Linked DNA regions of Nothobranchius furzeri. The protein of the gene in region 2 purifies or fractionates together with the protein of the main gene of each other region. This does not show direct contact. Links are inferred from orthologs where the notes say so. Each region holds a gene or a part of one and is shown on either strand. Other genes may lie near its edges.

The links.
Region 1: the proteins of mafa (region 2) and usp5 purify together in Homo sapiens (affinity purification with western blotting; 3 studies listed by BioGRID, with this or other methods). This does not show direct contact. The link is inferred for Nothobranchius furzeri from reciprocal best matches to the Homo sapiens genes MAF and USP5.

The regions. Positions count from the first base shown.
Region 1 is NC_091745.1:74,218,044-74,228,515, reverse strand, and holds the end of usp5 (ubiquitin carboxyl-terminal hydrolase 5), read right to left. Parts: intron 10,433-10,472; coding exon 10,248-10,432; intron 10,124-10,247; coding exon 10,029-10,123; intron 7,611-10,028; coding exon 7,417-7,610; intron 7,264-7,416; coding exon 7,192-7,263; intron 5,436-7,191; coding exon 5,348-5,435; intron 5,254-5,347; coding exon 5,128-5,253; intron 5,050-5,127; coding exon 4,896-5,049; intron 4,815-4,895; coding exon 4,652-4,814; intron 4,573-4,651; coding exon 4,484-4,572; intron 4,354-4,483; coding exon 4,168-4,353; intron 3,948-4,167; coding exon 3,804-3,947; intron 3,719-3,803; coding exon 3,576-3,718; intron 3,454-3,575; coding exon 3,303-3,453; intron 3,178-3,302; coding exon 3,093-3,177; intron 2,423-3,092; coding exon 2,329-2,422; 3' UTR 1,579-2,328; downstream 1-1,578. Other genes in the region: uncharacterized protein cd4-2.2, read right to left, coding at 180-207. UniProt on the Homo sapiens protein: Deubiquitinating enzyme that participates in a wide range of cellular processes by specifically cleaving isopeptide bonds between ubiquitin and substrate proteins or ubiquitin itself.
Region 2 is NC_091749.1:56,428,335-56,438,906, reverse strand, and holds the start of mafa (transcription factor Maf), read right to left. Parts: upstream 5,465-10,572; 5' UTR 4,902-5,464; coding exon 3,934-4,901; intron 1-3,933.

The DNA.
Region 1 (10,472 bases), on a different chromosome or scaffold from region 2:
GAGGGCCACATTTATTAAACTTTCCTTATTTATAAGGTAGAATCATGTAATAAACACATCTAATGCTTAATTACAACCCTAACGCTTTACATTTTTATAGTTTAAAAACAGAAATCACACTTATTTTATAGCATTAAAACATAAAACTCTTTAAAAATATATTTTTTTGATTTACTCACCAACTCCAAACCAGATAATTGTCTTCATTCTGAGTTTTGAACCTGAAAGTAAAAAAAAAAAAATAACACAAATGGAATTTTTACTGAAGTAAACCATAAAGGAGCATCAGTGCAGCACGGTGTGGAGATGAACTTCCATTTTATCATCACGGCGTCTGAGAGAAAGAGCGCTTTACCCAAAAACATGAGATCCCTAACCACCAAGCTCCTCTCTGCTTCCTGCTTTTCTCTCTTTAATGAGTTAAAACAGATAAAGATTGCTACGTTTTGATGTAAACACTTGTAGAAATGAGAAAATGTTAGATTTGGAAAAATAAATGAACAAATGTTTATTTAAATACTCAGTCGATGATGCATTTTAGGACGCTTCCAGTCGTGATGCTGCAACTTCATCAGATCGTTCATCAAAAATTCATTTACAGTAAAAGAATTGAGTTTTTCTACCAATGAAGAAAGTTTATCTTAAAAATAGTCAAACAAATCTTACATACGCATTTATTTAGATATTCAAGTTTGTTTTTTATTGGTTGACTTTCAGACAGCTGAAATTAAAACATAATTTCTATATTTTATCACTTCAAAAGTCCCCAATTTTGGATTTCGTGTCATATAACTACATCAGTTAGTAACAGATTACTTAATACATGGATGAGAATGATGTTTTGTAGTTTTGGAGCCTTTTCTGTCATCTTGTGTTGCAAATAACATAAGAAAACGTTCAAATTCACCTTTTAATAAACTAAATTCAAACCTTAAGTGTTGACGCACCAAAAAATTTAACAAAAATCTAAATTTAGCAAGTTTCTTTTTTTGTATTGGTTTAAATGCACTTTTATTTGGTTCACTACAATTTAAATAATCTAAAAAAAAAAAAATTCACCAAACAGTAACCTTAACATGTTTTTAAACGCTTCGTATTAAAATTGTGGGTTGAACTCAACAACATCAGATTTGGAGGCAATATCGAAACCAGTTTCAGCTTGCATGTAAATCTGAATTTTAGCCATTTAGATGGAGAGCTTACCGTATTTTCCAGTCGATAGGGTCACTTTTGTGCCGCTGCTGAGGGTCAAAACCTTTTCAGAGCTTCGGAGTGCTTCATGCCATCGAAAAACAAGCCTGTAAGGATGTTAAACGCGTCGAAGGCGGAAGAGTGTTGAAGACAAACCAGCACTTTGGAAAGTTGTAGGCCAATGTGGGTTTGCTGCTGCTGCTTTTTTTTTTTTTGCAGCAGCAGCAGCAGCAGAGGCCTGGCATTCCGTATGCTGCTCTTACACTCACATCAAGGAAGTTGTGTGTTTTTAAGCTAACAAAACAGGTAAACATGCTCCGACTAGTCACTTTATTATAAACCAGAAATCGTAACGATGCAGGAAAAAGCATTACGTGAACTCCACAATTCATTTTGACAGAGAAATCTTTATTTATCACAGCAGAAGTAACAAAGCACTTGTCTTTAAAATTAAAATAAAACACGAGTCACCCGGGTATCACCCCCACCAAACTTGAGGAAAACATGTGGATTCGGTGTTTTTCCTGATAAACTTTGAAGTTTTCGCTTTTTTCTCTTCTTTCTAACGGTGGGTTGTTATATCTCTGCACTCGGACCGGTACAGGATGCTGTGTTTGGGTTACGTGGTGACACGAAGCTGCAGATATCAAGTAAAACAAGAGGGGCCTGACCACAGCACTCCTAAACACATTAGGGCAGTGACTACTGATGGCAGTGGAAACAGATCAATAGTCAGGGGTCAATTAGCATCAACAGTTGCGTAAACTTACCAATTATGGGTAAAAAAAAAAAAACAACCTATAACGCTGCCATCTTAGTCCCTCAGATGTTTGGAGGATGTTCCCTGAAGCTGACTTTTCTAATTCTCTGAATATATTTCGGATTACAGCCCGTGTTACATGCTTCAGTAGCTCTCAGATAGTCGGCGGGTAGACTCTGAGCCTGTGGTTTGCGATCAGTAAATCAAAAAGAAACAGCAGAACCCCCCAAACACCTTTATCTGTACATTTACACCAATTTATTTAACTGTGTATAGGCAATCGGAGAGGTTTATTTACATGTTTGTCAGTTGAGAAGCAGGCCAGGGCGTTAAAGAGCTTGCTGTAGCGTGTTTGAAGGCATCACCTCCTCCTCGTCTCATTCGGCCACTCTACGATAGAAGTAAAGATATCCCAGGTCTTTGGGAGGCTTCTCTGAAGCGCAAACCTTCTGATCGTTGAAGATGACCCATCTATGAATAAAAGAGAGACACGACGCAGCTTAACACACAAAATCATTCTTTTTACATGAATATTGTTTATTTGGGTACATAAAATGTCTAAAACGTCTATATTCATATGTGATGTTCAGAACATAAAGCAGCTCGAGAGGTGGGGCTATGGCGCCCCCTGCTGGGACGCTTTAACAATAACATTTTTACTTATTGGCTTGCATTTCCTTGTTTCTATTGGGTAAATTAACCATGTAATACATTAAATAAGCATTTTTTTCTTTTGGCTTTTTGTTTCACTTAAAAAATAAACTAATGTGATTCAAATGAAATGTTCAGGGCTCTGTCACTTAAAAAAATAAATAAATAAAGAACCTGGAGTGGGCCACGCCCACCCATCGCACATTCGGGTTGCTTTAATCTGAAAAGCTCTAATATCCAGGAAAGGCTCAGATTAGAGCCACTGCTCCTCCAGCAGCGGCTCTAGATTGCACGTGAGAGGTGGTTCTACGTTAATTTCCTTGTTTGTGACATCACAAACGGGGATTTTTTTGAAACGGCTCGTTTCAGGCACATAATTCCTAAAAACCAAAGACTGATCGAAAACGGATGGGCAGGTTTTTCACATCAGGTGTTTTTATAGAGGCAGTAGAGACCCACATGGCAGAAGCAACGTGTGAGAAACACTTACTGCTGGTCCTTCTTGATGTGACAGACGTAGTGGCCACACATGGTGCTCGTCCCCATGTGGCTGATGAATGCAAAAAGCTCGTATTCTGGATAAAGATGACCACCAGAGTTACTTTGAACCAGAACCACTAGAAACAAACGTTTGTCTAATAGAGATGTATGGTTCTCATTCACAGCCAGACTGAGTAGAGCCTATAACTTCTGAACTCACTGCCTGGTCCGTCCCGGACACGAGGTCCAGGTGGAGGATCCCTGCCACCTTCGCTCTCTGCAGCTGAGCGACCACCTTCAGACACGTCCATGGACTCCAGATCATCCATGTGAGAAAAGATCCAGTCCACTGCACGGTCCAGGATGTTACTCTGTGACAAAGACAAAACAAAAGTTCATATCGGAAACTTTTCTCCCCATTCAACCACGGCCGCTCCTTTTAACATAGAATACGGCGTTTATGAGTGACGGAGTAATAAAGTTCGACTCTAACTGTTGCTCGGAGAGCTTTGGTGGCCTGATCTCGACTGAAGCCCATTGAGACGATTGTTGCCAGGTGCTCCTCAGACAGACTCTCGGTGGGAGTGGTCCCGGGTCCAGTGCTGCTGCCGGGCAACACCAGGGGGGCTGAGAAGTCTGCGGACAATCAGAAGATGCAACCATAAAGACACAGGAACGCTCAGTTGGAGTACTGCCTGGTAAATCCTGACTTTCCACACACCCGGATCATCCATGTGGCTCATGATCCAGTTCATGGCAGCATCAATTCCAGTGTTTCCAGTGTAATACACCGCTTTCCTGCAGGCCTCTAGTGGGAATCCCATTTCACACAACTGGGACACAGTCGAGTCGTCGAGGACTGGAGCTGAATGACGTAAAACAGATGAATTACTAGGATGTAAAACAGATTTTTAACTGGTGCTACATTAATATACGGCTTCTAAACTTCAATATCAAATTGTGTCACATCATGAAGAGAACCAAAAAGGCAACGGACGGACTCGTGAAAACAGAAAAAAGGAACAGAAGGAGACGAATGTGGACAAACGCGTCAGAGAAGGAGCAGAAAAGACAGACAGACTGACACAGCAGTGGGGAGTAGAGCGAGTCGTCCTCCTCGTTGCCAGGGAAACCCAGGATACCTTTAACCTCCGTATCTGGGGTCATGAGTGGGGGCGGGGCCACCTCTGGTAAAAGCTCCTCCCCTGGCTGCTGACCGGTTGCGCGCAGAGCACTCAGATCTAGAGTATCGGGAACGTCGATGCTCACATCTGTCAAGAAGAAATAAAACCAATCAGCATTTCAGTCTTCCAATTTCAACCAAACATATCCATCTTTGTCATTTTCTTTAAGCGGTGGGCAACATTCCGACACAAATCACAAAAAGACATCACTGCTCACCCAGTTTTTTAGGCACCCAGTCAAGGCCAAAGGTGAACTTCTTAATCTGGATTACCAGGTGGTTGGGGAACGAGGCAAAGCGGGTTGTTCTGACAAACGAGATCAACGGGATCAGGAAACACGTTCTAAAACCTGTTTCAGTCGGAGTGAGGCTATCACTCGGCTCACTTGGTAGCAGAAGTCTTGGCTTGCACCGCCGAGCTCCAGAAGTCGGTGAGTATTTCCGGTTCGCTGAGAGCCGCCATGCAGGCGGAGAACGGGATCTGTGCACGCACCGTTGGTGCTAATAGGTCACCCTCCTCCCGACGGCGCTCCGCCTCCTGAAGCTCCTCTGTTATTTAGGTTTTCAAAAAATCATTAAAATGATAAACAAACAACAAGCTTCAGGATTAAAGGCCCATCAGCTCCACACCTGTATTGGTGGCCTGATCCATGGGCACAGGCAGCTGCACGATGTAGTCCACCCGCTGTGTGTACTTGGCTTTTTGCGACTGCTGACAAACGATCTTCTCCTCCACCAGAAACCTGAAAGCTTCAGATGGATTGGACCCAGAGCGACAGTTCCTCTGTAGGGAAAAGAAAAGCATGCTAGTTTAAAGAGAAGCCAGCTGAGGACTAACCAGAGAAAACACATGCAGCTTTACCTCCACCATGTTTATGAAGTGCAATAGAAACTCCTGAGCATCCTGTTGTCGGTTGGTGGAAAACTCAGGGTGGCCTCGGCCAACGAGTGCTTTAAACATTTGCGGTGCTATTCCGATTTGGTCTCCCTGCAGCAAAAGCATCAACGGGGAGAGCTAGCATTAGTTCAGTCTGAGAGGGAACGAGCAGCTTTGGGTTTCTCTTCCACCGCCTACTTCCTACCCTGGGTTCAGAGGCACCGTTTTCATCGCCGGGGTCCGGTGCTGGTTTGGAGTACTCTCCCGACAGCAGACCATAACCCAGTTTGGCTCTGGAGAACAAACAAACAAAGCTAGCATCAACGAACAGCCAGGAAACCTCATAAAGGAGGTTTTGAGTAGAAGCCTTAATGAGGCTTTGCTTGTGCCAAATACAGTGAAAGCGAACTCCCGAGGGATAGTTTGTCTGTAGAGAATTTAAAAAGGCTTGTCAATAATGCAACAAAGCAGAAATAGTTTAAAATAATACAGCATAAAGCTGCATCCCAGAGTAATTCAGCAGAAACAAACAAATAACGTTTCTAGTAAATCATGTTAGAAATTGTAGCTTCAAGGCTCAAATAATCTGATAGAAAGAGAAACCAATCCAAATGTATGTTTAATTAGAAGCCCGTTACTCTTTAAAGGTGTGGCACACTTGTTTAATCAACACATTAGCAGTTGTCTGCAGTAGGAATTAATGCCTCGTAAGTCGTACACGGGCAGGGGGCTAAAAACACCGGAGCACCATTTCCAGAAACTAGCAGTGATCCACATCACAGCTGAGCTTCAGACAGCAGGGTTTAGTCTTATTTCCTGATAAATCTCTTCTCTGATTGGCTAACAGCAACGTAACTATACCATTCACTTGCAACGTTGATGTTTTATCTCCACAAATAACACAAACCTGGAGGAGTTCTGCTGTGTGGTGGATTCGCTAATGCTAATGGTTAGCTTCTACTAGCTAAGACGTTCTCTGCGGTTTCCTGGACGCTAAACCAACAACAGCCTTCCCCGTTGTAAGCCAAGATGGGCGAGTTCACGAATGTTAAAGTGACAGGGTGACGTAAATCTGTCAGGATTTTCTAATCCTAGAGTTTCACCGTCTGTTTTCTATCAGAAGCTAATGCAGGAGGTAGGTGTAGGAGACTATTTTCATGTTCAGCCTGCATAAAAATCTCAAGAGTGACCCGTTAGAATCAGAAACAATCAAAAAAAATTTTTTTCAGTGTTCCACACCTTTAAATGATCAGCATAAACTGCATTCACCTCCCAGGGCAGCGCAAATATTTAGTCGTTTTTTTTTTATATTCAAGAAAAAATGTTTGGTACCTGAAACTTCCATAAATAAAGAAACATTTTATCTGATGGCACCATCTAGTGGCTGACAAGCATATCACACAAAAAATCTGTTGCTCTGTTTAAGATGGCGACTTCACGTGTCTTTTTATAAATGTGCTTCTGTAGCAGACAAACAGAGCTAAAACACGCAGTTTTACGAGTGTTATCCTCATGTCATGTTGTGTTCTCATATATTTATATTTTAGAGACTTTCTTGACCGTGAAAAGTTAATTAACTCTGCATCAGCCGAGGTATTCCTTAAATTTGAAGCAAGTAAGCGGTAGTCTAACGTTATTAGCTAGTTCTGGTCGGCGCTCGGTTTCCTATTGCACGGGGCTATGCGGGGCAGGGGCGTGCTTAGCAAAAAACAACAACAAAAGGACGTATCGCTTACATTTTACCACAGTACATGATGAGATAATCGCTTTTACAGGATTTCTGAAAAATCCTTCATCATTTCTGAAAGGGGAAAACTCCGGAAAGCAGCTTTAACAAGCCACAGTAGAAGCAGACGTTTCTTCCTCTGAAAAATAACCTCTACGTTTCTAGAGATAAACATTGAAAGCTGAAAAATCCCACCTGAAACGTTTTAAACTTTCATTTAATTTTCTAAAAGCCGGTAGACGGTGTGTGGAGACCTCATGCACCGCTCTCTCAGGCATCTTGTGGTGAACTCAGAGCTTTGTTTGCATAACGAGGAAACTCACACTTGAGTTTTGAAGTCCTGGGTCGGGTCGCTCGGCGCATCGTTGATGATCTTGTCAAAGTTAGACACGTACCTGCGAGAACAGAAGTGTGTGAAACACTTGGGTAATCCATCCTGCTTCTACCATCTTTAAGGATTATATGGTAACATTAGTGACACTTCAGAGACAGATTGATGAAAATTGTAAACAAAAACAGCATTTATTTTTTAAAGGTGAGGCACTTACTTGCTCTGGAAGTCTGGAATGGTGAAGAGCACTTGCATGACGGAGTTGAGGTAGCAGCTGTTCCCCAGATTCCTCATCCCAGTCAGGCCGGGGCCAAACAGGGGCTTCAGGGTGGTACCCGACTCCTGGATCACCTCCCACTCCCCCACACGCTGGTTTACAGCAATCTCCAGCTCTGTCATTGTCCTCTCCGTCTGAGAGCAGAGAGTTGAAGACATAAAAACACCAGAGGAAGTGGACCGAGTCCTGATATATGAAGGAGCAGCAGAACTAGTCCGGCTGAAGGGTAATGGCTGCAGACAGATGAACAAGGACTCATTACAGCGCTGAGTGCTGCAATCTGCCGTCTGTTTTATTTCTGACACCCTGTCTGCGAGCGTGTGCACAAATACATTAGCACAACACACCACATTAGAGAACAGCGAGGGGTATGCTGATCTTAGAAAAACAGACATCTGTGTAATAAAAGCTCTGCACAGAAGCAGCAGCTGGCCAGGAGTCAGGAAACATGCAGGTGTTCGGAAAAGAGAGGCCCGTCTGTGTAATGCAAACATTCAGGGAAGCAGAGAATTCTTTAAATTTTACAAAAACAACCAAAGAAATCAACTTGAACTAAATCCTCTCTGCTTTCAGAAAAGAGACTAGAATCTGCGGAACAACAGAAAATGATTACAGTGAAAAAAGCAACAGAAAAGTTTCATTTCCATCAGCGGACTGGCAACTGATTTAAAAAGTTTATTCCAATGGAGGATTTCCTCATAATAAAGGAGACAAACATTGACGAGTGTGTCTATTGGTGGTAGAAGTTAAAGCCATTAAAAGATAAAATCAAAGCATGCTCATTTTCTAATTTATCATCCATGCAAACTAATAAAACTGGTCACATTTGTCGGTAACCTTTACAGAATTTCCTCTAGGAATGTTTTAAACTGTGATGTTTTAGTAACAGAATTGGGAATTGGTTTAGAGTATTTAGATAAATTTACCTTGAAGATATTGAAGAAAATCACTTTATTTAAATGAAAATCTGATTAAAAATTGTTAGATTGTGTGAAATATGTAAAAAAAAAAGTGTTGTGTCTTGTTGATTTAGTTCAGTAACACAACTGAGAATCGATTGAGTCATTTAACTCATTAACTGCAAATGACGACTTAAGTCGTCATTTGCACTTTGTTACGGTGTGGGCGTCGGACGAGCCCCCGCACCGTCAGAACAAAAATCTCCGCTCTAAAGCCGATCTTCATCCGCATATGTCACACGTCACGTGATCAGGAAGCAGAACATCCATGTGTTGGGAGATCACTTTGGGCCGCTGCTGTAAAAAAGTGAGGCACGAACTGGAAAAGCTTCTACAGATCACAATTCAACAACGGATTACAAAAGAACGGATAACGCTCAAAACTCGCAGATTCTTCCAGATGTAAGAGGTGAGTCTCCGCTTTGTTTTGGTTGTTTTGGCGTTGACGTCATCCTAGCGCGCAACGTTCTGTGACTCTTAAAAAAAAACTGTAAAAATGCTGCATCGAAGGGCTTTTCTGATCAGGAAACGGCTGGCAGTGAATGAGTTAATCAGTTAATCTGGAAGCTTTTGATTTTTTTACCTCTTTTTTGGAATGACTAGAAATTTGTTGACGGCCCCCAGGCGACCCACTGCTCTCGTGCACGAGTCCTCGAAACACAGCTAACCGAAGTCCAACTAACTTCACCGCGGTGACGTTATGATCACTCTGTGTTAACATTAGGCTTGTTTTCACTAAAAATGCATTTAACTTAACCTTCCTTACACCGGGGACACACCAGCCGCCGAAGCGCCGCGAAATTGGGGCCGCCTTCATTCGGCGCCCTTGTTATCCTATTCTATAGACCACATGGGCCGCCGAAGCGCCACGCACCGGTGCTCTAGCTCGTGCCGTGCAGCGATCGTTTCGGCGTCTGCTCTATTTTTTTCGCGAGCCGCGGGTGAACCGCGTCAATTCTGGCAGGAAGTCAAACCTAGACATAAGAGGCAGGCCGGTAAATTTAACAAAATAAAGCATTTCAAAATACAATTCCACGATAGTCAAATGTGTTCGTAAACAGACACTGCATAAAAACCACACACACACACACACACACACAGCGAACTTGTGTGTTTGACCACGTGAAGGGGGTGTGGTTTTGGGTGTCTTTCAACCGGATGGAGCAAACAGGACAGAGAGGCAGAAAGTCGTAGGACAGCTATTAACAACTGGTTCACACCATAGGTTCACACACACATACACACACAAACAGCAAGGGGGAGGGGGGTGTAGAGGAAAAGAGCAGAGAAAAGGCAGAGAGGAAATGGAGGACACCAAGTGGTTAAAAGAAAAACTACGAGGCGTGCCTCGACCGGAGCAGAGGAGCAGAGAAAGAAGCGTCAGGTCTGAACTGAGGAGCAGTGGCCGAATTTCGTGAGCGCTTCGCCTCCCGGCGCTTCGGCGACCGGTGTGTCCCCGGCGTCAGGTACCTTTTCTCTCCCTCTACTTCGAACTGTCGTCTCTAGTTTCCCTTCACTCCTGAGAGTAGCGCTCTGCAGCTTCGCAGCGGTGTCGGTTTTTCTAAATAAAATACATTTTAACACAAGTCTCACCTTCTCCATAGTCATCATGTCAATGCCAAAGTGACTTAGGTGCTCCGGTAACTTGGAATCCAGCACCATGTCATCCTCATCATAGGAATACACATCTGGACATAAGAAAACAGGCAGCAGATGAAAACCAGCAGTGGACGGATGAAAACATAAACTCGATCAATTCAGCAAAAAACACCAAAAATACTCAAATTACAGCTTAAAAAGGTTTCTGCTCACCAGCACCATCTGGAGTGATGGTACCAAGTTTGACAGCGAGGGGGTAACCGGTCTCCTGGTAGTGGAGAAGAGCGTGGTTGTTGCCCCCAGAGCCGTCAAAATACCTGCGACCGCAAAGGACTTTCCCATCCGTCAGGTTCATCCACAGATTTTCCTGAAGGTCACAGACTTCACAACGCCAGCCGCTACAAAGAAAAGCAAAACCTTCAGATGCATGGGTTCTAA
Region 2 (10,572 bases):
AAGTTCCACATGGGTGCATCTCTGGAAGATCGATCAATTTGTCACTTAAGTAACCATTGTGCACTGGTGCCACATATATGAGCGGCAGCATCCTGTTTTTCTTTTGTTTTCCCCTTTCTTCTTCTTCTTCTTTTGTTAAAATTAGGTCTGTCTTCACTCAAGTGTCACAGAGTCACATATTTGTACAAAGAGACGTAAAATGAAAACCAGTCTATGAAACGAGTTTCATTTTGCCAGACCACTTAAAAAGTTTGTGTTTTTGCTTGTTGGCTGGTGAGTGGAGTTAGTTCCAATGCACGTTCCATCCTTTGAAACATTTCCATTTTATTTTAAATCCCACTCAAAGAACTTCAAAAGCTAATTTGTTTCTCTCATTTACTGTAAAACAATAGGTGAAGAATTAATCTTCTGTTTTAGATAAACTTCTTTTAGGATCTAAAATAGCCACACCCAGTTATCCTCCCTGAAGAAATCCAGCACAATGTTTTGGTTAGTATCAAAATGTAGCAGTGCTACTGCTCAGATCAAATAGATGTAATTAGATAAATTGAGAAAGAAGGAGAGCAGCTTGGTTGTAAATTGCATGGTGTGTGCATGCTAAGACCCAAAACGGGCACAGCTGCACGGAGCTGCACTCACGATTTATCATCTCTACATCGCAGGAGCCAGCAGCCCACACCGCTATTAATCATCAGCAAAATCATTTAATTCAGCCCAAGACCGTCTATTGTCTTAGTCTCTCCACTGACTCGGGGCGGATCAGCCACCACGGCAGCAGAAGCAGCACACCCACCTCAGATGAGATACAAGTGGTGGGTTAAAAATCCCTTTTTCTAGTTTTTATTTTAGGTTTTTTTTCCATTTGGAGAGCGAGACAGCTGTGCAGCTGCATCATCAAGTGCAGATGGTGCAGATTATGTATTTTGTTGCTTTAATTTATTCATCTGTTGTGTGTAACTGAAGGTGAAAAGCATTGAAATGTAACAAAGAGCAGATCACATTCAACCCTAACACTGTGTGCTTTAATAAGAGGTGTCCTTTTGGAGTATCCTTTTCTCACAGCCGTTGTGGCTTAACTACAAAAAGCTGACAAACCCAGATTAGATCTGTCCTCTGCAAATCTTTTATTTAACGTGTGTGTTTTGGCACACATCTCTTCCTGTTTCAACAACTTGCTCTGAAACATTGAACTTATGTTTCACTTTCGCTCGCAAAAGTGGAGGTTTCACTGAACACACCAGTGCAGTGAAGTAGCAGCACATGAGATGTCTAAAAGCTGAAATGCAAGATTTGCTAAAGAGCTGCCGAATCTCTCCACAGTGGCTGACTTGTACCCTCGCCATCGCCCCCTCACATGCTTCTCGTGGTTTTGCCCTCTTTGCTCCCCATCGACCAAAAGCACGCCTGCTCAGGAATAACATCCAGACCCACTGACGAGCAGAATAAGGCTGAGAAGAACAGGGAACGCCAAATGTTGACATGCTAATAACAGTGAGCACAAGCCGTTTGGAATAAAAAAAGAAGAGGACAGACAACGGGCACACCGCACACAAACACACCAGGGAAACAGAGAAAGAGCAAATGGGGAGGTACAAATTTGAAACATGCAAAACAACAAGAAATCCACATAAAGAAATAGATGCAATCAAAATCTACTGTCATCCATGGAAACACACACTTTCACACATATTAAATAGAACACACATGCATGCAGGCTCACACACGAGCATAAAGTGGATGAAAAGGACAAACCACAGGCCAAAGTGGACAGTGAAGTGGACATCATGCAAATATAACCATAAAATATATTTAAAAACACCCTTTAGGATGCACTTTATAAGTTTAAAACAAAGCTTGGAAGTCAAAATGTAACTTAATGTAATAATTTGGTTGAGAAATCAGAACAAAAGATAAAATAGATGCTCATAAATCATATTTGTCTGGTGAGAGAAAGATGAAAAGGGAAACATTCAGTAAATAATGTGCTAAAATCACAACGTCTCGCTGCCTCCCAAAGCTTTCCAGTTTCAGCTTGAGCAGATTGCTCATTGGGTTGACCGGTTTTTATATTTGACAGTGCCGCTTTAACCACAAACACAAAAAAGAAAATGAGAAACATGTATTGCATATCATTTAATTGTATGAAATGAAAAAAAACACATATGAACATCACATATGGTTAGTGAGTGGTATAATTTTGCACAGCAAAATATTTATATTTATATACTATTTATAAGATGAAAGATAAATGAACACATCCTCAACAGTCTTTAGCGAACGGTAACTCTCATTTTGTACATGCAGGGCGACAATCCCTGAAGATCTAACAATGTCCAGACATCATTGATTATAATAATAATTACTTATTGCTTCATGCCAGTTTCCTCTGAATTCACCCTTAAATCTTTGAAAACTTTACGATTGTAATGCCAAACGTATCTTTATGGGAGGATTTACCCCCAAAACTTCAACAATATGAGAGGAGAATTTTAGTGCATTTCAGTTTGTCAGGTTAATGAATTAACACCCCCTCCAAAATATAAAATAACAATAATAATTTAAAAACTTCACCTCCAGCGAAGATTTTCTCCTATTCCATCATTTCCTTTATTTTCATTATAATTCTTAATATTTTTGAACCACAAACTTTAAATATGAGGTGGAGACCTGCAGAGCAGAGGTTTACAAGCACATGCTGCAAGTAAAAAAAGCACTGTTTATGCACTGGACAATAATATACACTTCTATGTCAAAATTGGAGCCGAGCCAATTTTTAATTAAATGCATGTTTAAAATGTACAGCACTAATCTAGTTGAACCTGCAGCACGTTTGCAACTTAGATGATAAAACTTTGTCCTTAAATTACGCTTAAAATATTCAAATGTTTTAAAAAATGCACAATGGTATGTATTTAAATAACAACAAAGGCTTAAAGCAACAGACTAGACATCCAGGGGATAAAAATATGAGTTTTTCATAATCATTTTTTTCCTTTGCCCCTCTTTTGCAGCAGGATCCGCGCTGACAAAAAAGTTCCATGAGGAACGCTGAGCGCATTCAGCCTAAATGGTGGAGCACTTCAACACAGCTGAAATGCACTTGTATAGATTGCTAAAGGAGGGGGTGGGTGGGAAGTCCTGTCACTTTTTTTTGGTCCAAAAAAGTGAGAAGGCCAAAAACATGATTATGAATGCCATGCTGGAGTCCGACAACACAAAACCGACATCTTCAAAGCACAAAAAGAAAAGAAAACCATACATGTCCAGCATGCAGGGCAGTCCAATAACACATCTCTTATAATAAAAAAGAAAAACAATGTTTGGTAATGAACACAGTGTCTTTTGTTGTTGTTGATCAACACAATAACAAGCATGAGATGAGGTGGCGTCAAAATGCATGGTGTACGATCCTCCAAAGTATGGCAACAAAAAGAAAAAATCATACAAAATAATAAAAAACTAACAGTCACTGTTGCAGTTTTACACGGATTTAACAGAATGCTGGTGTAAAAAGGACATGTTGGGGAACCTCGTGCCTGCATGCGCGCTTCATTTACTGCGGCACGAAGTTGGGTAAACTTTCAAAAAATCAGTTAACTGTGAAGGGAGGGAGGGAAAACGGTCTCGCCAAAAGTATGCTGCGGATGAGCGCAGAAAGGGGATGAAAGTTTTCTCAACGTGCGTCTTCAAAATCATTAAAAAAACAGAAACAGATGGCAAATCTAAATTAATTAAAGAATTGAGGAAATTGTTGTTTTTCCCAAAAATGTTTAAAAAAACTAAAAAAAGAAAAGGGGTAGAAAATAATAAAAATAAAAGAAAAAAAGTTGGCAATTTATGTCTTGGTCTATTTTGGCCAGAAAAATGAATGAAAATGAAAAAAGTTTGGAAATGCAAACTTTTTAAGTGGGGTTTGTAAGCGTCGAGACTCACATGAAAAACTCCGGGGATGAAGGGTTGTTGTCACTACTGGACCCGTTTTCTCTGAAGCCGGTGCTGATGAGCTTCTCATACTTTTCTTTGTACGCGTCCCTCTCCCGGACCAGCCTGGAGATCTCCTGTTTTAGGTGATCGACCTGCTGCAGGAGTTGCGTCTTCTCTCCCTCCAGGACGTGCCGCTGCTGGACCCGCTTGAAGCGGCAGGACTGCGCGTAGCCTCTGTTCTTTAGGGTCCTCCTCTTCTGTTTCAGTCTGATCACTTCTTCCTTGCTGACCCCCCGCAGCTGCCGGTTGAGCTCCCGCACGGACATGGTGACCAGCTGCTCGTCGGAAAACCGCTCATCCAGGCGCATGTGGGAGTGATTTGTCCCCGAGGTGCCGTTGGACTGGACGCCCGGTGCCTGGTGGTGGCTGCTGCTGTGGTGATGATGGTGGTGGTGGTGGTGCTGCGCTCCGTTCTGAGCGGCTGCCGCGGCGATGACGGCTGACACCACGGCTGCGGCGGACCCCATCTCTTCCCCGGCCATGGTGCCTCCTGCTCCGGCTCCACCAGCAAACTGCTGGCCTCTTGCGTAGCCATCGAAGGACTGGAGCTGGTGGGTGCTGTTGATCAGCGCTTCGACTGCGTCCTCGGGGCTGAAGCCCAGCGCCTCTGGATTCAACTGCTGTTGATAACCGGACATCCAGTAGAAGTCCTCTATGTGTGTCTTCTGCTCGCTCCCGGAGCCCGGGCTGGGCGCCGAGAAGCTTGGGGAAGGGGGGACCGAGCTGCAAGGCGTGCTCATCGGGGTGGAAGACAAGGATCCCCCGGCGATAAGGCGACTGCACTGGCTGATGTTGCGATCGGGCTCCACCGGCTCCTTTTTCACTTCAAACTTCATCAGATCGAAGTCATTAACATATTCCATGGCCAAGGGACTGGTGGGCAGGTCGGAGTTGCTCATTGCCAGCTCTGATGCCATCCTCTTGCTGCTGCTGACAGTCCTCCAAGCGGGCTGAAGAGCAGCTGTCAAACTGGGCTGGTTTGGAAGAACGTGAGCCAGTTTGATTTTTAAGCGTTTGTCTTGAAACTGAAAAATGAGCGTTTCAGCGTCCCGGACGTGCAGGCGTGTGAGAGTAGTTTTTCTTTTGCAGAGTCTATTGCACAGACACAGCAGTGCCGCGCGCACGAGCAGCGGAATCCTTTTTCAGCATGTGAACCGCGGCGGTTTGGTCTTTCAAACATTTAACACTTTACCGGCTTCTTCAGGAGCGCGTTACGCGGAGACGAACCGAGGAGCGGGGCAGTGGGACGCAGCCTCGCTCCGTTCAGAAGCCGCTGACTGGTGGGACGATTTTTTAAGAGGGATCACAGAGCAGATGAGTTTAAGAGGATTGTAGCTGCCCTGACGTCAGGCTGGAAAAGGGAAATCGACTCGGACGAAGAGCCAATAGGGTCGCACACTTGGAAGAGCTAATTAACATATCAGACGCGCACTGAAACTTTTCTCAACTGTCAGAAGCGGCCAGCTGACTGTCAGCTGGAAACGGGCTGCGCTGCCGCACTCAGCTAAATGTTTATTATAATAAACACTCAGTTATTATAGTTTAAGAACATTAATTATTATTTATTAAAAAAATAATATTAATGAAACAGCGCGCGCCGCGGGCGTAAATTCCCGGGACAAAACTTTTCGCAATTGAGAGAAAAAGATGATAGATAGATGATGATGATGGTAGATAGATAGATAGATAGATAGATAGATAGATAGATAGATAGATAGATAGATAGATAGATAGATAGATAGATAGATAGATAGATAGATAGATAGATAGATAGATAGATAGATAGATGATAGATAGATAGATAGATAGATAGATGATAGATAGATAGATGATAGATAGATAGATAGATAGATAGATAGATAGATAGATAGATAGATAGATAGATAGATAGATAGATAGATAGATAGATAGATAGATAGATAGATAGATAGATAGATAGATAGATAGATAGATGATAGAAGATAGATAGATAGATAGATAGATAGATAGATAGATAGATAGATAGATAGATAGATAGATAGATAGATAGATAGATGATAGATAGATAGATAGATAGATAGATAGATAGATAGATAGATAGATAGATAGATAGATGATAGATAGATAGATAGATAGATAGATAGATAGATAGATAGATAGATAGATAGATAGATAGATAGATAGATAGATAGATAGATGATAGATAGATAGATAGATAGATAGATAGATAGATAGATAGATAGATAGATAGATAGATAGATAGATGATATATGATAGATAGATAGATCGATGATATGTTTAAACATGAACCATCATTTATTTTCCAACTCCATGTAAGCCTATTTTCACTAGTTTCCTCTTAGATAATAATACATTTAAATAAGTGCTTCTGACTTCATTTAATCATTCCATCTCTGTAGTTTCAGAGTCCTTGAAGTCAGTCTGAAACAGAAGTGACAAAATTAAACGATTCTGTGCTGCTGTAACTCAGACTTTGTCGTTTATAAATTAAAACATGCACCGGAGAGGTTCATCATGCCTAGCTGCACGTTCCTATATAAAACTCAACACTGCCACCTTTTGGTCACACCTGAGCAAAAGTCAGTCTGCAGCTTCAGAAAGTTGTCACGCAGTTCAAGTTTTTAAACCAGAAAAAGAAAATTTACTCTTATTAAATGTATTATTTAATATGAATCTCAAACCCAAACGGATGCTCTTCTAAGTCCAGCTGGGCCGGCGTCAGGAGATCATGGTCTGGAAGAGGTCATATGTTGGAGGAAATACAAGCTGGTGAACCCAGTGTTGAGTTCAAACAACTATTATGTGCAGGAGTCATAAACATATGTTTATCTGAGCTCTGTCAGGCGTTGCTTTGGGTGTCAAATAAACTTCTCTAGAACATTGCTTCTTATCTCAGTTCAGAGGTCTCACACTTTTAATTGACTTGTGTACAACAGTCTCATAAGATTTTCTTCTGCTCATATCATTGTGTGTACTTAAGCCACATTGCTGAGGTTAATGCAAATTAATTCACGCGTCTTATCAAACTCATGCATCTTGTAGGTTGTTTCATTTTCATTTTAACTCAGTTTATTAAATATTGAGGTAACTTCAGAAATTTAATTTTAAAATTTATTTTTGTAAATTGGGAGACTTTGGTTAAATGTTATTATGCAGTTTTCCTTAGAAAAATGTGTGTGTGTGTGTGTGTGTGTGTGTGTGTGTGTGTGTGTGTGTGTGTGTGTGTGTGTGTGCGTGCGCGTGCGCACACTCTCTTAGGCCCACCAGTTGAATTGTTTGTTAACAGAAGTATCTGATTTGCCAACAACATAGCAGCAACTTAAATCATATAGGCACGGGAGAATACAACTTGTTGAAAGAATGATGGCAGAGGAGTTAAGGTTGGTTTATGCTTGACGCGTCCGCGAGGTCTGCACGGCTCCGCGCGGAAAAGTTGCGTCATTTTGCGTCATTTTAACAACCACGCCCCTCCACCGCGTCTCCGCACGGCCCAAGATCTCCGCAACGCTCACCTTGGAAATCTTCTAACCAAGGGCGTCAGTTTGTTTTCAGAATTGCTGGGGACAATAACCATACACTTGAGTGGGGTTTAAAAATTGCTGGGGACAATAAGGCAGGCTTTTTTGAAAGTAGGGGGGACACAGCTGCCAATCACAAATTTTGCCGGGGACATGTCCCCGGCGTCCCCGGTTAAAATGACGCCTATGCTTCTAACCACGCGGACGGTCGGACGCGGAAAAACATGGCGGACCGGCAAGAACTAGTATAGCAGAGGTTCGTAAACACAGACATTTGTATGATTCGGCTCTCAGAGATCACCGTGATCAACATGTTGTTAATAATTCTTGGAGAGAAATAGCTCGCACTGTCGGAAAAGACGAGAACACCGTTGAATATGCTGAAATGCCGTGTTGTAAACAGTAATTTCTACTTCTACTATGGTGTAGTGTTGGATGCATGCCGTAGAGCTCCATGCTGCCCCGTTCAGTTTGGGAGAATATTGGCTCACCGCAGAGACGAGCCGCACAAACCATAAACACTGCGAGTTGTGAAGCGCGTTCCAGCCGTGAGCCGCATCATCGCGTGGAAAGTGAATGTGTCAAGCATAAACCAAGCTTTAAATGCCCACCCCATAACCGGAGGGCTGCAGATTCAAGCCCTGTCTGTGGCAGTTGTGTCCTTGGGCAAGACACTTCTGTGGTCAGAGAGACCGGCAGCGCCTGTGTTCGGCAGCCTTGCCTCTCTCAGTGTGTCCCAGAGCAGCTGTGACTACACTGTAGCTCATCATCACCACCAATGTGTGTGTGAATGGGTGAATGAAGGATGTGTTGTAAAGTGCCTTGGGGGGTTGTAGAACCCTAGAAGGGACTATATCAAATACAAGCTATTAAAATGAGTCTGAATGTGGCCTAGTTGTTGGCTCCAATTCAAAGCATTCCAAATATCGCAGATCTACCAGAATTTTCACACACAACTGTAAAGAATGATTGGAAAAAAGAGAACTTGTTTGGACAAACAAGTCTTGTTGATGTTAGAGGTCAATAGACAATGGCCAGAGAGGTTCTAAACAGGCAATGAATAACTTATTAGGCAGTTTCTGTACAATACCATCACCGAACACATTGCTTGCTGAAATTTGAAGCAGATGAATTCCAGGAGCAGATGATCACACCAAGTTCACTAAAGCTGGACCAGAAGAAACTGGAATTATTCATTTTATTATTAATTTTTTATTTATTTATAATTTATTTTTTATTTCATTCTTCTTCTTATTCATTTGTGCTTTGTATCAACAGCTCTGGGTGGGGGGGGGGGGGGGTGTTAGTGTAATGGGTGTAAAGGATGGGTAGTTTGCATCTTACTTTATGAACCATAAAATGTGAGATTCCATAGAAATATGAAATCTGATGGATCTTTGAATATTTTAACCAGAACATCGGAACTTTTTATTGCAGGGATTAAGTGACACTTCGTATTAACTCCAAGGAAAGTAAAATACAACTTGCAGCAGATCATGACCTTTAGGTCAAAAACAGGACATTCATGATGCTACATGGGCAGATGATGTTTTTCTTGGTCCCCTCAACTCCACCTGACCCTGGTACAGCTTACCAGAGTATTGTTGTGGACCATGCCCATCCCTTTATGAACACATCCAACAGGATAAGGCACCATGGCCCAAAGCTCAAACCACGGACGTGTAATTTTGACTTTAGAAGTGGGGGGGCAAGATCGGCATGCGAAACGGGCAAGGAGAGGGGAGGGGGTTGGTCCTTTACAGTAAGTATACAAAAATATGTAATATGCAATATGAAAAGGGCTTCAACACAAGCAGTTGTTTTCTGCTTGGTCCTAGTGTTCAACCAGTGTCCATGTAGCATAATATTGTCTTTGGATGGTAAAAAGTGCAGGGGACAAAAAAAAAAATGACTTTGAAAAAAAATAAAGCGCCCCCCCCCCCCCCAAAAAAATAAACCTACGTCCATGGCTCCAACAATCTGAAAGTGATTTATTTAACAAGAGTTTGGGGTTCACTAAAAACTCCCAAAATCACCAGATCCCAGAATCTTTGGGATGTGGTTGAAAGGGAGATTCAGAACTGAAAATGTTAAAGTTGTGCCATTTAACAGCTAGTTGAATCAGTGCCATGAAGAATTAAAGCAGTCCTGAGGGTAAAGATTGGTCCAGCCCAGTTCTAGCAAAGGTGTAGCTATAAACCGGTCAGTGACTGGGCTGATTTCTTTTGCTGCCTCTTTTAAAAACCATTATTTTGTCTCTCCAAGTGCATGATCTCATCACTGAGTGGATTTTTACATTTTTGCGTGCACACTCTAATGATTGGCTTAATAGGTCATGCCAGCTCTGTCAATGGCTTTAGAAGATGACTCTGACTTTCACTTAGATCTTTTCTGAACCATAAGAACTTTAGCAGTCCTCTGTGGTCTTCTAAATGTGTCTTAGTCATTTCAGTTTTATGAAAAATATACTTTTTCTTTACTTCTTGTTGTTTTCAATGAAAAACACTTTCAGGTGTCATACATACATCAAACATGTGAGTTTATGTTTAATGTTAACAGTGTGGATTTTGCAAAACTCAAATAAAACCCCATTGTTTCTATTTTCATTCTGCTGCCATGTCATCTGTTTGGGCTTACCTGTTCCTGGGGAGGCACAGCAGTTGCCCGTTCCCTGGGGTACGGCTACAGCGGAGCGAGACTAATACACAAATGAAGGGAGAGCTCATTAGTCATGACAGAAAAAAGTGGCGGACCTAATTTAGTTGCTTTTGTGCCTTTGAAGTTATTGATGATGCAGAGCTGAGAGAGATCCGCGCGTAGAAAGATTGGGCTGCCGTATGGAGAACTTCTAAAACCAGGAGGGAGGAAGTGATGAGTTGGAAGAGGAATGGGGGTTGTCTTACAAAGACGTGAAACATTACCATGTTATTACAAGGGTCAAGGCAGCTTTTCAGGGTTTTAGGAAATCTTTAAAAATGTATCATTTAAAGCCACATAAAAACAGGGTAATTTCTTTTTTTAGAGAAGTGAAACCCTGTAACAAGCAATAAAATATATAGTATTGTGACTT